4 linked regions of the Caenorhabditis elegans genome follow. The protein of the gene in region 2 interacts with the protein of the main gene of each other region in a pairwise test. Each region holds a gene or a part of one and is shown on either strand. Other genes may lie near its edges. The genes, in order: npr-12, tsct-1, fkh-8 and txt-1.

Region 1 (4,738 bases), on a different chromosome or scaffold from region 2:
CGCGGTGATCATATTACAAATTTGTTCTTGATCAAGAATATCTCATTTTGTTTGAGAATCTACTGTGCAATTCCTGTTTATAACATTTTATTATTATTGTTAATTGAATTTAAAATCGTCCTCTATTTTTTTTCAATTTGAAAACACTAATTGCCAAGCCTGAAAATATAATTTAGTTTGGTTCCGAAGATGAACAGCTTATTATTTTCAAAGAACGCATGTTTGAGATTTAAGATTCAGAGTTGCCAAAATACTTTGAAATTCTATTCAAACTTCTTTTATTTACAAATTTGCAACGAATAACGGAGTGCTGAAATGAACCTCTTCTAGCCCATCGATAGTTTTGTATTCACTTTTAAAGCTGAGAAAATAAAAAAATGTACTGTTTCATCTTATTTTTATAAACACAAAAATATTTATCGAACAATGTTGATTTGATTTTGTGTCCTGAATCTCCTCAACTCATCAAAACCTCATAATTCGTATTTTCCCATTGGTCATCTAAATCCATTATTTTTTTCCAAAATCTCGTGTTCCGGCTTCACTTTTTTTCGATAGCTTTAGTGGAAAAGATTTTAACGACTGGTGCTCATTGCAAACGATGTGAACCCAGTAATTACATTAGAACCCATCGTCCGCCCACCAAAAAGCAATGAGACGTTACTCAATTTGTTCAGAAATGGACCTTCTTAGAAGTAATTCTTTGAATACTTCTTGCAATATTCTGCAAAAATAAACTTTCTGAAACTAGGTGAGAAATAAAAAATTTTCTTGATTTGTTGTGAGTTCTTAAGAATGCTAGAAATTACATAAAACTATAATTGTTTTGTTGGGAAAGTTTAAGATGCCTGACAGTTTTCTTGGAATTTTTTTTCTAAAACAATCAACTAATTTCCATCATTAAATATTTGAATTTCAAACTTTTTTCAATAAAAAAAGATTGAAACTTCTACAACTATTTTGATGTTTTTGATTGAATAAAGCTGGAGTACCGCCCGTGAGGATTCGTTTTAAAAATATTTATAATACTCCAAAATTACCAAATAATTACCTTTTTTTGTAATTTTCCAACATTATAATAGGACAACTGAGTTTCACCACTTTTTGGCTATAGTTTAAAGAATTTAAATAATTCTCTAATTTTAAAACTATGATATTCGAACGTTTCAGGACAAAAAAAATAAAGGAAAATATTGAACCCTTTTTCTTGCTAACTCACCTGGCAGTGACTATTTCCAGCAAAGAAAAAACATCTTTAAAAGTCGTATTACTTGTAAAAACAAATGTGCCGAAAGGTGTATTTATTATGCAACGACATTTTCCTTCTTCCTCTAGTATATATCCACGATTCTTTCCTCATTCCACTACTATATTCATTCCGGAGCTGTTTCCACGAGTCTCTTGACATTTTTTTTCACATTCATTGTCTACTTAATTCTTTTACGACTTTTGCGCTGTTCTATGTTTTTTTGGAACACGTTATTGAATTTGGCAGAAAAAATTAGTCACCTTTTAAGCGGCTTGATATGTTGTTACAAAAAACTTTCAATCACATTTTTCAATCTGTACACTTTTTGTACTCCCTTATCTCTATACTACTTGTATTTACCACTCTTTAAAAACTGATCTTAATTGTTTTTACAGGTAAACACCATCTGGAATCTTTCTAAAAAGAATCTGTAGGCCGATTTTATAGCAACATCACTATAATGACAGTTCACAAAACGTAAGTTGTTTTTAAATGTTTCTGACAGAAAGTTTCAGACAGTAGCATAAACTAAAATAAAACTGTTTCAAATTGTGTACAAATCAAAGGAACGTTGCAGAACAACGATGCTGTTTTTGTTTCAACTTTAAGACGTAACTTTAGATACATGAACATTTAGTGGTCTTCTTCTTTTTTGGTCAAAAAGTGTTCTTTACTTCCTTTCCTGCAAATTGCAAAAAAGAATCGAAAACACAAAAACCAGAATGGTCCTCCACAATTTTGAATAATATATGGCTCACGAACCCTGTCATCCCAGGAATATTTTCATGGTTTCATGGAATTGTTCGTATTTTTCTTGATGATGTGGGTACCAATTCTTCTTAAAAACGTTCAAGTGGGCCATGCTTCATTAATATTTTTGTATTTAAGCTTTCTAAGAAACATCTTCCAAATGTTATCTTGATTTTTTACAAACACCGACATTCGATTTTCAATACATTTTTCTGATCATTTATGCAAATCTGATTTGTTTTTTCCTTTTCTTTTCCTTATTTCAACATTTTTATCATGCCTACTTCATCTTTTTCCCATTCCCATTGCACAAGATTTTCCTCACTATGTTTCTTCAATAGCTTTTCATTATTCCGTGCTTCAACAAAAAATTTATGCGAATTTTAAAATTGAATTCGTACAAACAGGATGTTGGCATCTAGACGAAATGTCGACTGACATTCACAAATGGTTTGACATTTTTGAAATTAATTTTTGTACAGAAAAGTAATTTCCAAAGAATCTAGGATACGGTTGGCATATCGAAATTCCAGTTCCTTATGGGTTTTTTTTCGTAGAAATTTCGAGCGTATAAATACCAGATTTTTCGAAGGCTTTGAGATTTTAGTTTTCATCATCTTGCTGTCAAACTGTACCTAATCGTTTGAATTTAAAGTTGAAAGCTTGATTGAAACCTGTAAATTTTTACTGTACCGAGATCAGAGTGATAACTTTGCGATAACATCACACAGTTGTACCATCAAGCGGACAATATTTCGCCAATTTGGAAATCTCGCAATCAATAGATATTTGATTGGGACCAGATCATTTAGTTAGTTTATTCTTAGGTATTTGAAGCTCAACTTATTCACAAAATGTTTTGCTAAATTTCCAAGAGTCCACCTACAATTTAATAGTCTTATTTGGCATTTCCGTATGCCCACCCACCTCCATTTACTTACTCTATTCTTGTCCATTTCCTGTGTATTCTATGTTTTGAAACACACTCAAATTCACCTTACCCATTCAATTTTACAAATTCCTAACCTCGAAGGAGGTACTTCATTGAGAAGAGCTAATCGACTCCTATTCTTCGTTTCTTCTTCTTTTTTTACATTTTGTTTCAAAAGAGTGCTGTGACGATAAGAATTTATTTTATATCAGGTCATCATTTTCTGTGAGCAAACTAGATATTTTAAGTGAAAAATTATAGTTTAAAAAAAAAATTAGTAACATTTTCAGACGTATACGTACTACTTGACTGTCTCATGATTGCCTACTGAATGTTTCCTCATATGTTAGCGTGGGCTCCAGCTTTTGATTTTTGTGCCTTACGCATTTTTGTAATCTCAGTTCATGCAACACATTTTCAAGAAGTTTGACAAATAGGCATTTTTGGTCGCGGAAGAGTTAAATAATATCACTCTAGAAATGTAGCTTTTATATTCCCAATTGGCGTCAATAAATTATTCATTTTTCATAATTTCTGATTATTATTCAAATGTTTTTAAGTACCAGGGTGTACCAAGCATCTCTAATTAGTTACCATGACAAATTGATCCCCATAGTTTGAAGCTTATACCAATAGTATTAATCTTCTCAATTTTTGAAGACTCTTTTAATATTTAATTCATTTCTCTTCGCCTCTTCCTACATTTTCTATTTTTATTCTTGACTTCCTGCTCTTCGCGGACCTTTTGAGAGCATTTTGTCGTAAAATTAAATAAAAATTGAAGGGGGAATGAGCAGGAAGAGAAATTGCAATTTGCTCTTCACCTTTGAGTATAAAAAAGAAAGAAAAAAAGAGCACACAATAAAATATATTTCAATTTCAATTTACCTTCCAATCAATTCTTATCTGGATTTCATTGTTCTTTTTTGGTTTTTAGTCTCTTCATCAAACCCCGCTGGGATTTTTTAGGGTAATGGAGTCTGAAAAAGAGGAATTGAATAAAAGAAGCAACGAAAGATTTAGAATCATAGATTACGAATCAAATGGAACACGAGATTTCTTGCTGAAGTTAGCAAATAACAACCACTAATCGTCAATTTTTGTCACTTTTACAAAGAATTTTTTGGAAGATTTTTGGAATGATGCTTATCAAGAGCATCATCCTAATTGTAGACCTTCACATTAGAAAAATCAAAGTTAATGCGCAAGTTCATCTCAAGCGAACAGTAATCACAAACTCCAAGAGCCCCGTTTTTGGTCAATTGTTTTTTATTTGATCTGTGCCAAGAATATATTAATTTTTCTTTTTTTTTCAATTTTAATCATGTATTTCATTATAATTTCTCATAACAAATTCGTGGGGGTATGAAGCCCTAATTTGTTCCTCATCTTGAAGCATCATCCACCTCCATTTTAATGTGTTTTTTGGAACAGCTTATTTTTTATTCGGCACATAAAAATATTTTTTAGGAGGCTTGTACAGAAATTTAAAAAAATTCTAATTTTTAGGATTAAGCATTAAGTTTATCTTCTTATCCTGTTACATTTATCATAAACTTCGCCGAGTGTCACAATTTTTTTTGTGAAGTATATTTTTGTCGGATAAAAATTTCTCAAAAGCAAATTATTTGCTCTAATATATTTTTAATATACTTCCCATTGTATGATTCTAGTTTCAAGCTCATCTACTAGTCATCCGACACTTGTTTTTCAACAAGAAAAAAAACAACAAAAAAATTGGAGAAACCTTGGACCCATCGTCTCCGTTTCCCCCGACGTCGCTACTTTTCTATTCTTGTCTATCTATA
Region 2 (4,988 bases):
ATTAGAACCTATGAAATTAAAAAAAGTTGATGACTAATTAGCAAAATTTGATAACATTTTTGCGCCGTGGACAAGACAGATATGAACAAAAGTTACAACGATTTGACCAAAATAGATTTGAATTAATGTATTTTGGGAAACAAAACGTACGACATTTTTATATTAAAAAAAACATCTTTCGCCTTTAATTTGGTTAGGTGAGCAAATTAAAAATTGTTTTGAAGAAAAATGGCAAAGATAAGTTTCAAAAAATATGCTGGATTTTTTATCGCATTAAAAATCACAATCGTTGACTGATTACACTCAAGAACCCTTATTCGAAATTTCTGTTTCAAATTTGAACAAAAAACGAAAAGATAAATTGGTCGCAACATGCAGCAAATGATTGATGAACTGCTGTGGGAGACATGAATTGACACGTAATTTCAATTTTCTCGAAAAAGTGCTCGCGGTGCTGAGGAACAGCTGTACTTGCTCAAGTGTGATGGCAAGTGTGTCAAGTAAATAGACACGACGGCGCAACTTTTGGCACGGAAACTTTGGAGTTTTTTTTCTGTTTTTTTGTGTTACTTTGTCATCTGAGTAAACCCATGAGACTTTGTTTTTTTTTCAGGAAAGAAAGGAACGCTTAGTTTCTCTCTCTCTCTAAATGGTGCAGACAGTTATTGAATCATATTTTTTTAATAGTTTGAGAACGCTGTAATTGGAAAAGGAATTTATGAAAGTTTGAAGTACATCAAGGACAACTAACAACAGTTCAAGAAAGCCCAATAACTTTATGAAAGCACAGTGCAAAATCTGCAAGAACTTTTGTGACGACATATTTTCTTAACTTAAAAAAGCATTTATTTTTCAAGTTTTCCGCTTTGTGAAAAATTGTTGAAAACTGTTTTTTTTAATTTCAATGGCAGTGCTTTTTCTACTAGTTTGGAAGGAAAAAAAGAGAAAGCCAATTTTCGTAACTAGAAAAATGAAAAACTTGGTAGCTTTTCATACCTTTTTTCAAATTCTTAGAGCTTAAAACTCAAGTCTTACAAATAATCCTACATAAACCTTTGCCAAAAAAGCTAACGTTCAATGAATATGCAACAAGAAGTCAGCTTTTTGCAAGAAGAAAAAAAAATAGATGAGCTAAGAAAAACGCGTATTTTCTCTAACAAAGCCACCTAGACATGGCGCAATAACGTCTATTTCAGATACAAATAATACGAGATTATGACTGTGACATTCCAGTGAATTGTAAGATTTCTGAGATTATATTTGAAGTCATTGTCAAAAAGAAAAATATATAATTCTTCTGAATTATTATTTCAGAGAGAAAGATTTTGAGGGAGTTTTAAACAAGACACTGCGATTTCTCGTTTTCAGTCACTAGAAATGTCACAGTTTATAAGAGCAAAATAGAAAACGAATGAAAAATTGAATGCTGTACATTTCTCTTGCTCTATACTGGCTGCTACCCCACTTTTTCAATCACACTGTACGCTTCTCTGTGTGCCCAGACAAAACCATTGAAAACTACTGCTCTGCATAGCCCGCAAAGCAGGAAAGCTATTTTTCAATCGCAAATAAAACGAAAAAAGCGCATGGGAGCGCGAGATAGAATGCAATCTTTTTTTGAAACTTCGATTCTGTAGTAATTATGCAAGTTGTGGTTGCAACAATGGTGCTCACAAAAGAGTTGCGAAGAGTAAATATGAAAAGGGCACATGAATAGCGATCAAATCAAATGACGAACTGATAAAAAAGATAATATGTAGTTGTCATGTGTACTCTTGAGCGAACGTGCAAAAGAAAATTGGACACATAACATTCTGAACTGGAGTTTGAAGGCGGAGAAGATCCAAAAAGGAAATTGTTTTTGAACAAATTAGCTTTGAAGCTTTCTCTATTATTCTTGCATGCAAGACTAATTTTCAATTGGTCCGTAGGGATGTAAGACTAGGCCTGTGGAGTGGGTCGCCCCATTTTTTGGGTCGGTCGGGTCGGGGTAGGAGTCGGAAATTCTAATATCATGAGAGTGGTTTTGTATCATTTGGCTCTATATGCTCTCCTCATTTTTCAAACAGAAGTTCAATTTAAATGTTACGCTTGGAAAAGAGCAGCACACCACACTTTTGGCTCATTGTTGATTGGTGTTTTTCATCGCGTAAAAACTGGAAATTTAATTGAATACTTTTGGCACTCGTATTCGGAGGGTCTCATTGACCTTTAACTTTGTTTTCTGCAAAAGTCTCACAATGTAGGTGTTTCAAATTACGTTGCATTTGATTTTTTAACGACATGAAAAAATTTCAAGATTATACTTGAAATTTATGTGTTCAAAAATGTTACTAGAATAAATTATTTTCAATTTTTGAAAGAAAATGTTCCACATTCTTTATACATATCTTTGTACATATGGCAACTAAACGTTTGCGAAATTCCTAACATTGAACAAGACAAATTATTTTCAAATTAAATTGATATGCTGTTGAAGGAAAAATACGTAAAAATAAGAAATTCTAATTTTAGTTATTGTTTATTCTTATATTTTATGAACGCAAAAAGCACTTGATTAAACAACAGAAATCAAAAAGTTAAAAAGAAAAGTTGCTGTTCAGACTGACGGGGGTACGGATAATTCATGCAAATCGGTGTCATTCTAAAAATCGATATGTGGAATTGAATCAGAAAGGAAATCGTCGAAAAAATTACAGTTGACTCACGATTTCTGTATTTTAGAGTTTGTTTCGCGGCAGTCACGCGTTTTACATTGGCGACGGTGAAGAAGCAAAACGAAAGGACAACAAAATTGCGTAGAGTTTCTCTTTCTCAACCAACCATCAAAAACGTTTAGATTTGGAAAACGTGCTGGAGATAAACAAAACACATACATAAACACGAGGTCATTGACAACGAAGAGCCGGTTGTTTGATCAGGCAGATCATAAGGAGACAAGGTCATGTGGTTTATCTTAAAAATGAACACTTACTGCGGCAAAGATGAACATTCTCAGTGACAGGATCCCTTGCTGCGGTCTCTTTTAGCTGTAACTACCCTGAAACTTTAAGTTATTTGTATCTTGTAAAACCAACGTTATTGACAATAGAGAGCAAAAAAAGTTGTGAAGATATAAACGCAAACCATAAGAAGGAGTAACGGTTCTGCTTTTTATTTGAGTAAAAAATTTTAAAAATTGAGGTTCCGCAGGAATCTTAAATTTAGGCCACTTGTCCGCGGAGCGACTGGAAAAAATATTATTATTTAATCACAACCTCATTTTGAAATTTTGTGTCGTTTATGAAAAATTCGCTAGTTTAATCTCAATTTCTACAACAGGGTAAAGTTGATAAAATTTTAGAATTTTGCTATATTGAGTATTTTTTTGTTAAACTTTTCAACCGTTAAAAAGAAAAAGAAAAAACACTTTTGTGAAATTTTCAAGAAGTTTCATCCTGAGAACAAATTTGCAAAGTTGAATGCAAAATTTGATTTTTTTTATCACTTTTAAACTTGCGTTGAACTTACGTGAAACTATCTTATATTAATGATTGATTGGTAAATTCACAAAAATTATGCCCCATGTTACAGATCTTGTGAAAATTAATTAATGTGTGAACACATATTTTTAAAGTTCAAGAAGTTTTTTAATTGAAATTGTGAACAAAACCACGTGATGCATTTGCGGACGCACAGAGAAATTTGATATTCACTAGGAACATTAAGTATGTTTATTTTTTCGTTTTTTTGTATGTTTTAAATATTCGCAACAAAAATTTCAATTGTTTTAATTATAACATTTATGATATTTGCAAAGTATTTCATCTGATTAAGAGTAAAAATAATTTCTGTTATTTTCAAATATCATAAATAAGAAAATAAATGAGAATGGCAAGATGAAATATGAGGAAAAACGGGTTTGTTGTAACATAAATAATGCTCATCGCACATGTGCAAATACATAAAATACGTAAACGATGAGATAAAAAAATTGAATTTCTCGAACGTCTCTATGTGTATCTAATCCGATAAACACTAGTTTTAGGGAGTTATGAGGATGTTTTTCGTCTTGTTTTCTATTTTATTTTTAAAGATTTTATTTTTAATTATAATTTTAAAGAATGTCAAAGTGTAGAAAAACCCAATCAACAAATGAGCAGAAAAATTAAATGAGCACTCAATGTCCTTTTTTGGAAGAGAGCAGATGGTAGTTAAAAGCTAAAAAGACGCGGAACCCTTTTTTTCAAATGTGTTCCTCTGTGACGGCTGGCTTTTATGGGTTGAATGAAAGAATGATGGTGTTAGGGTACCACCCGACACAAAACAAAACAGAGCTGTTCTGCAAGATCAAAATGACGTTTTTTCAAAAATATATGCCAATTTTCTTAAAACTAAAAAAGAACAAAACTGATACAAGAATTGAAATTCCCAATGGGGTAAAATTCGAATGGGATGAGAAGAGGAAATGGGCGGAGGAAGGGGGCAAAAACGTTAATGAAATTTTGTTTCAAAGTTTTGTTTGCCCAAGGCTATTTTCTACTTTTTACATTACTTCAAAAATTGTAATTTCAAAACAAAAGTGGACTGGAAAAAATTAAAAAATAAAAATATTCCAATGGCTGCGCTGCAAACAAACAATTGGATGCTTCCAGATTTTCCAAATTTGCTGAAAACAGAATCGACAGGTATTTTGGGCAAATCTTCCTGCACAAATTGGGAATTTAACCTTGGAGCTCAGAGAAAAATGATCTACATGCAAATGTATCTATATATATTATATATATATATATATATATCTAGAGAATTTATCAAAGTATTAATTTGGCAATGTTGAAAATAGGTAGAGAAAAATCACAATCCCAACTATTTTTTTTCGAATATGGGTGTAATTGTTCTTGGTATATATTGAATAACGTTTTACACTTTACAAGTACTATCTCTTACATAAAAAATAAAGGGGAAAATGATTAAGCTACATCAAAAGTTCGAGAAAAAGTAACTAGTGT
Region 3 (4,122 bases), on a different chromosome or scaffold from region 2:
TCTCCACCAAGTTTATCTTCTCCAATGGAGTGCTGGAATTCCAGTCCTGTCTTTCACGAAACATATCATTGGATTTGGCATTTTGCTGTTCCAATTCTTGAGTGACCAAGTTATTTTGTTTGAAAAAATGTTCATCTAGCACATCATCTTTTGCAGTGTCCATCATACCACGACATTTACGACGATTCATCTTCGACAGCTTGTGTTCTTCAAATCTATCACCATTACCCCAGAAGTCATCATCTCCTTGCATTGAGAGAAACACGCGCCTTGATTTTGACATCTGAAGTGATTTTGGTTCCACGTTGTCATGTTCTAGAAACTTCGCTCACCTTCGAAATTCGCGTAGGCAATCGATACAAAATATTATTCAGAAATAATCAAAACTCCGGTTGTTCATCTGATGAGACGTTTCACGCGGATGGCATTTTATTTTCATGTCCCAATGCCCTCAATTCATTTATTTCATTTTAATCACGTTTTTTGTTCAGAATGGAATCACATCTCTAAAATTTGAATTACAATTGAAATCATTTTTTTAATCAGCTGTAATCTCTGCAACAATATTTTTTAATTACCCCGTAGAGTGCAAGAATCAAGATTAATATAGGAAATACGGTATTTATGTTTTCCTTACGGGCTATAGATTTGTAATCTAAACGCTCTAAAACTACATACAGTTATTCAGCAGCACAAAAATCTAAAAATGTTTTCCAATTTCGATTTATGTCATATATTTGAAATCAATGATCAAATGAATATAAGTGAGTTTCAGAATGATATAATACATTGAATGTATTCTTTCTCGTGTTTTGCACCTTTTCTTTCTATTTTCTCACACAATCAGCCGCCGTCTTGTTTCACTTCTGACCAGAAATTATCGCCTCGCGCGTATTTTCAAAAGGGTTCTGACGCATTCTCCCCTAGCAGTTGTCTATAACTTCCCAAATTTAGATTTATATTCTCAGAAGTGATGTTTTTTCAGGCCCGGCAGTATGAAATAAAAACAACGAGTTGATGGTATAGTATACTCATTATTTATTTTTTCGAGTAAGTCAAACTGAATACAATATTCTAAAATAAACTTTAGTTATTTAAAGATGACTATGTCAGGTGCAATCGAGTTCCACCAAAAATCAGCTCACTTTTGTTGTAAAATTAATAGACTGAACATGCGTTTTTTTCTTAGAATAGAAAACCATACGTGTCCATTTTTAAATATCATGATTTTGTTTTGGCAAATTTTGAATATAAATCACTTTAAGAAATTGTTCAAAGTTATTCAACGAGTCATAAAATCACAGAAACTTGTGCTACAGTAACCCAACTACTACGGCTCCCATGCTAATGAATGTTGTTTTACAAAAATATCATATCTGAATAAGAATACCTGGAAAAACCTGAATACGTTTTGTGTTCGTTCTCAACACCCCAAAAATAAGAATTTTTTCCAAGACTTGTTTCGTTTGAATCACTCTGTCGTGGATCTCGTTGAGGTTTCGATGTTTGCTCTTTTACTTACTTTTATTTCTTTTTTATTTGTTGTCTTGTTGGTCCCACCTTCTCCTTATTCTATGACTCATTCATGCACAGACTAACATTCGCTCCTCTTTTTCCCTGAAGCCGTTCAGTCTGTTGGTTGCCCCAACGACGCCGCCTGCTCTGCATCGATTTTCGTGTCACCTGCTTGCTGCATTCCTCGCTTCTCTTCTTTTCCTCTTCATTCCATTTTCACAAACCTCATGCATTTCCAATCTCAATTATTCCTCCATTCATCCACCGATTCTCCTCTTTTTTAAGATCCACAGTTTTAATTTCAGAAGGTCAATCACTTGTGATGTCAGATCTAAGCTCAAGCTTGTGCCAATTGAACTGGCTCATTGCCAAAGGTGGACTGAACACAGTACAAGAAATCGAAGTACCTGAAAACCCTAATATTGTTGGATCTGTGAATGTTTCGCCACTGGTCCTATCTCCTACAGTACCTGCAGAAACGTCAAAGGCAATTTTAATAAATATTTGAAATGTCATAGAAAATCAGAGAACTCTTTCAATTATGCTCTGAATGTTTTGTTGCAAATCTACTCATATTTTTAGAATTAATAATTTTAATTTAGTTGCAAACATCACTTACATATATTTTTCGAATACATAATCTAAATGACCTGGCCTTTTTCGTCCTTCCTTGAAATTAAATTACGCCGGTAATTTCATACAATTCAATTTCGGTGAGGGTGGCACCTGCAGCGTCATAACTCGAATTAGATTTATGTGGCTGAGGTCAACATCTGGTTTTTAGAAAGATCTATTGCTCTTTTATAATTGCTTTCTAATTTCAGCCAGTGGCTCCTGCACACGAAGGAAAACGGAGGAGAATTTTTGATGGAGCGGATAAGCCACCATATTCATACTCTCAACTTATTCGTCTAGCTATCGAAGATACTCCCGATAAAAAATGTACTCTTGCTGAAATCTACTCTTTCATTGCTCACAACTTTCAATTCTATCGTGAAAACCGGAATTCAAGTTGGAAGGTAATCCTTATTCCGGATATTGGAATTCTACGTTTGAAATTGCAGAATTCCATTCGCCATAATCTGTCATTAAATAAACAATTCAGCCGCATTGAGAAGACTGATGGAGATAGAAGTGAGATAATTATTTAATGATTAATTTAATTGAATTCATTTTTACAGGAGGATGGTGGGTTTGTGTAGATCCGCCAGCCAAGAAACCACGAATTCTCAAAGGATCCCCAGTGCGAGTAAATCCAATTTACGAGCATCTATATCATAGTAATACATAAGATTATAACTGATCAACAATATCAATAATTGTTTTCAGATAAACAAGACATGCCAAATTTCACTCCTCCGCCAGAAGATCCATTCCTGTCAGAAATTAATGGAAATGTACATGAACTTACGGTATCTTATCAAACATTCCCTCATGCAAGCTTAATTTTATTTCATTCACAGGAACACGAAATAAGAGATTTGAATTTGTTCGAGTCATATGATCTAAACTCATCATTCCGTGATGTCTACAATCAAATTTTTGAGAAGTCCACTTCCCCCAATGGGAAGAAGCAAGTAAGTGAAAAAAAAGTTCAGTTCTGAGAAGCAAAATTCTAGAGATCTTGTGTGTTGGAAATTCAATAATTAATTCTTAAAGTATATTATTAACTTCAGGCTGCTCAAATCGATTGGTTGAAAATAAGCTTAGAAGCTGCTGGACTTGATTATCACGATGAACAAGAACTTCAAGAAGTTGATACGGATAAGTTGAAAGGTTAAAATGAAAAGAAACTATTTTTAAACTTAATTTCCAAAAATTTAGATTACGTCTACAATGGATTCCCAGCAGAATGCGACAGTGATGTCTCAACTCCAAGAACAGACTCTGGCCGTCATTCATCCTCAGATTCTGTTCTTTCAGCCACTCTTCAACCAGTTAACAATGATTCAGATGATGAGTATGACTGGGATAAATTGCTATAAATTGTTAATCTAAAGGTTCAAAAACTCACATATTTTTCACACAGTGTCCAAATTTCATTTGTACAAAAATACATTGTTAGTTAGTTTTCATTTTCATATTCATTTTTCGTAAACATTCAATGAATTGTTTACTGATACTATACGCCAAGTTTATGCATGTAGCCACGCCTGTACTTTCCAAAAAAAAATCTGGTAATGGCATTCGATTTCAAATTCGAAAAAAAAAACCTATGTGTCCAAATTTTCATGAGCGATCTAGCCACTTTTTGACTACAGATGTGCACCAACTTTTTTGGTTGAGTACTCATGAGTTGATACAGCAATTAATTATTCAGTCTAACCCCGTTAACCTCCGTCACGTAAATTCAATAAGTGGCAGGAATCCCAATGTCAAAAACGTCATAAAGATTGGAGATGGCGAAATTGAAGACGTACCAAGTATGCTAGTAGACAATTGATACATAAACATACTTGGTACATATTTAAAGATACAGTTTCTTTGACAATACGCGATAACATCTGGAGATGAACTGGAGATGCCATCGTGGAAGCACAAAACAACATGCACAAAAGAGAGAGGCCAACATAGCGATGCTGGAAAAATTAGGGATACAAGTCTGTT
Region 4 (3,547 bases), on a different chromosome or scaffold from region 2:
GCGCACGCAAATCACTCATTTCGAATTGTTCGTCGTCAATTTCTCAATTTCTTCGCCACTCTTGAAACTTGAAACTTTTCCCGATTCCAGAAGAACTATGGCTTCTGAATCGTCGCACGATGATCCAAAGTATGAAGCACAGGAAGCTGATGCAATGCGGAAGTTGGCGTTTTTCGGTGAGTTTACTCCATAGTAACAAAATGAATGCCTGAACTTTTAAGGAATTGCCATATCCACTGTTGCTACATTAACTGCAATAATGGCAGTCCCCATGCTCTACAATTACATGCAACACGTTCAATCTGCATTGCAATCTGAAGTATGTACTTGTTATTCTGAATTCGTGTTGTTATTATTATAATTTCTTTTTTTTAAAGGTAGATTTCTGTCGACACAGAACAAATGGATTGTGGGACGAGTACAATAAAGTAAGAGTTTTTTTTCGGATCAAAAGGAATTTTCTTTTATTCAGTTTGAATCTGTTGCGGGCGTCCGTAGACGCATCAAACGCGCGACATATCAAAAATCAAATGGAGTCACCGGACGTCTTGCTCATCGTCGTCGGGCAGTTGCTCGTGGCGCATCTAGCTACGATGGCGGATTTAATGAAGAAGTTCCAGTTGGAGGTGGTGGTGGTGGAGGAGCATGCTGCTCTTGTGGAGTTGGCCCACCTGGTCCATCAGGAGCTCCAGGAACAGACGGGAATCCTGGAAATGATGGGTCTCCAGGAAATCCTGGAACACCCGGACAAGATGCAGTAGGAGACGAATCCCCGACTGCTGCAGATTTCTGTTTCGACTGCCCAACAGGACCACCGGGACCACCTGGAAAGCAAGGACCTAAAGGACCAAATGGAGAACCAGGCGCTCCAGGAACTCCAGGAGGAAATGCACTTCCAGGACCACCAGGTCCCCCTGGACCTCAAGGTCCACCGGGAGCCGATGGATTACCAGGTACATTAGCATATTTGAAAAAATCTAACGAAAAACGTTTCAGGTAACCCCGGGGCTCCAGGTGTTCCAGGCCAAGTTATCGAAGTACCAGGTACTCCAGGGCCAGCTGGTCCACCAGGTCCTCCAGGCCCAATCGGCCCACCAGGACAGCCAGGAGCTCCAGGAAGTTCCCAACCAGGACCACAAGGGCCACCAGGAGACCCAGGAATTGATGGAGCTCCAGGAAATCCTGGATCTCCAGGAGAGCCTGGACCACCAGGACAACCAGGAGCTGGTGGTGGATGCGATCATTGTCCTCCACCAAGAACTGCTCCAGGATATTAATTTTCTGAACTTTAAGCCGACTGTATTGTCTTTCATAGCCCTATTTCTGTTCAACCGGTAGATTTATTCGATAAATCACAATTTTTTAATCATAATGAAAATTTATTCACGAAAATGATCACGTACTTGATCTCAAACTTGAGTTTCAGGTACTCCATGTGTAAAGTCATTTCATCAGTTTCAGTGGGTCTAGGTTTAGAGAAATATTGGTTTTATCAAAAAATTTTGACACAGTCACGTTTGGTGAATTTTCTAATTCAAAAGACAACTTTATTTTACTACCGGACCCAATCATACTCCATTATAAAATTACATACTCTTTATTAAAGTTCTCCACAAATTAAATCAAAATTTTGAGTGTTTAAAAAGCAAAAACTAATAAAAAATAAATAGAAAACCACGTCCAGTTTTTTAATAGATCACGCCACCACGTCACTGAAGTCTACATTTTCCGTAAAGAGCTTTCAATAAAATCATTTCAAAAATCAGAACAAGTAACGTGGTTCCTTCAACTCTTTCTCTTATTTTCAAAAAAATGAGCACTACAGGATCTGCACCGCCCAATTCAAAACTTAAATCAGTTGAGGACACGGATGATGATAGGGTGAGTAGACAGGGGTGGGTGGCAATTGCCGGTCGACAAAATTTTTGTCGGCACATTGCCGGTTTTTTGCCGATCTGCTAGAAATTTCCATTTCCGGTAATGTGCCAGTTGCCCGAAATTTTCATTAAAATTTTCATTTTGACATTGCCGATTGCCGCGCACCCCTGAGTATTAATGCTCTTCACATAAACATGGCTACTTCAGACTCTCGCTGAAGACGATCAAAACGATCAAAACTCTGGGAGTATGGATCACCGATTTGAGAGAATCAAGGTGACACTGATGATGACTCAGGGCAAGAAGTTCGGACTTGGAATAGTATCTGTTCATCAACGTATACTGGTCTGCAAAGTGGAAAATGGTTAGCGAATACTTTTATAGACTCTTTTCTAATTGGTAGACATTTCAGAATCTCTAGTAGCCGGGGTTCTCAAGTACGGAGATCAGATTATCGAGATTAACAAGAAAAACGTCTTAAACAAAATTGATTGTAAGAAGCGGTTGATGCAATGCCTCAAGGATAAAGGACAAGTTGATATTATCATTGTGCGCCCAAAGACTGCAGATGCTGTTACCATGATTGAAGTGAGATTGTGAATTTAACACAGGGGTGGGCAACAATTGCCGATTTGCCTGAAATTTTCAATTCCGGCAACTGACCGGTTGCCAATTTGCCAGAAATTTTAAATTCCGGCAATTTGCCGGTTTGCCGCCCACCCCTGATTTAACTTGACTGATTTTCGGCAGGAACACTTAAAACTGTGCCTTTTTGAAACGTTTTTTTCTTTTTTCTTTTATGTTCTCATAGAATTTGCTTACTTTTCAAAATAGATGTAGGAACATTCTTAGGATGTGTAAAACGTAGCCGAGCGTAGCCGATTCCGATTGAAATTGAAATTTTGAAATTTCCAAAAAAATTGCTGTTTTTCCGGCAAATTTGCCGGAAATTTTCAATTCTGGCAATTTGTCAATTTGCCGAAAATCTCAATTTCGGCAAAATTGTTTGCCGTCCACCCCTGATTTAACATGATTGATTTTTTAAAATTATTTTTCAGCAAGAAATTCAACTCTCGCAACAACCGAGCACTACTGCACAGCCAAAGATCAATTGAACTTGTATAATGAATAAAAAGTATAAGTACAGAATTAAAATTGAACTTTGGCCCCATTCCAGCAATAAATGTTTTGTAACAAATAATAATCCCCAGTCACAAAAATAAATAAGTTTTCCCCTTCCCCCCACTTTCACTTCTCTGGCTTTTCTTTTTCTGTTTCCGTTTCTCATCTAGAATTCCAAATTCCACGACATATTGTTTCTGTTGCCTAAAAAATGTGTATTGGTTTAGTGGTTAGTTTAATTTAATCAAGAATGGCGCCATAACATTCAAATCTTAAGCTGCAGCCAACAACAAAATGCATTGATGAGATTTAATCAAATTTCTCTGCTCTTATTTTTGTAGTTCTCATTCTTTAAAAAAATATTTTTAGCAACTTCACACACTTCAATTTCATGTGTTTTATAATATCACCCAATCCATTAATGCAGCTAAATATGGAGAAAGCGCTCGGCTTTTCTGCCTTGCCTGGCTGAAGCCTCAGGCGGCAATTAATGGAGCTCTGAGAGCAATAGAGAGATGAAAAAGTTAAAGCGGGCGTAAGAGACGCA

The links.
Region 1: the proteins of tsct-1 (region 2) and npr-12 interact in a two-hybrid assay, tested with the Caenorhabditis elegans proteins (one large-scale study listed by BioGRID).
Region 3: the proteins of tsct-1 (region 2) and fkh-8 interact in a two-hybrid assay, tested with the Caenorhabditis elegans proteins (one large-scale study listed by BioGRID).
Region 4: the proteins of tsct-1 (region 2) and txt-1 interact in a two-hybrid assay, tested with the Caenorhabditis elegans proteins (one large-scale study listed by BioGRID).

The regions. Positions count from the first base shown.
Region 1 is NC_003282.8:6,934,620-6,939,357, reverse strand, and holds the start of npr-12 (G-protein coupled receptors family 1 profile domain-containing protein), read left to right. Parts: upstream 1-1,709; coding exon 1,710-1,726; intron 1,727-4,297; exon of another isoform or gene 4,298-4,318; intron 4,319-4,738.
Region 2 is NC_003284.9:12,432,158-12,437,145, reverse strand, and holds the start of tsct-1 (Protein tsct-1), read right to left. Parts: upstream 3,050-4,988; 5' UTR 2,993-3,049; coding exon 2,975-2,992; intron 510-2,974; exon of another isoform or gene 443-509; intron 1-442.
Region 3 is NC_003280.10:6,189,090-6,193,211, reverse strand, and holds fkh-8 (Forkhead box protein pes-1), read left to right. Parts: upstream 1-1,818; 5' UTR 1,819-1,837; coding exon 1,838-2,002; intron 2,003-2,339; coding exon 2,340-2,534; intron 2,535-2,579; coding exon 2,580-2,649; intron 2,650-2,696; coding exon 2,697-2,795; intron 2,796-2,844; coding exon 2,845-2,927; intron 2,928-2,978; coding exon 2,979-3,092; intron 3,093-3,191; coding exon 3,192-3,291; intron 3,292-3,339; coding exon 3,340-3,500; 3' UTR 3,501-3,589; downstream 3,590-4,122. Other genes in the region: cpb-2 (Cytoplasmic polyadenylation element-binding protein 2), read right to left, coding at 1-283.
Region 4 is NC_003280.10:104,446-107,992, forward strand, and holds txt-1 (PDZ domain-containing protein), read left to right. Parts: upstream 1-1,743; 5' UTR 1,744-1,812; coding exon 1,813-1,881; intron 1,882-2,085; coding exon 2,086-2,242; intron 2,243-2,290; coding exon 2,291-2,466; intron 2,467-2,936; coding exon 2,937-2,993; 3' UTR 2,994-3,040; downstream 3,041-3,547. Other genes in the region: col-68 (Nematode cuticle collagen N-terminal domain-containing protein), read left to right, coding at 98-176, 222-319, 378-428, 473-953, 997-1,277.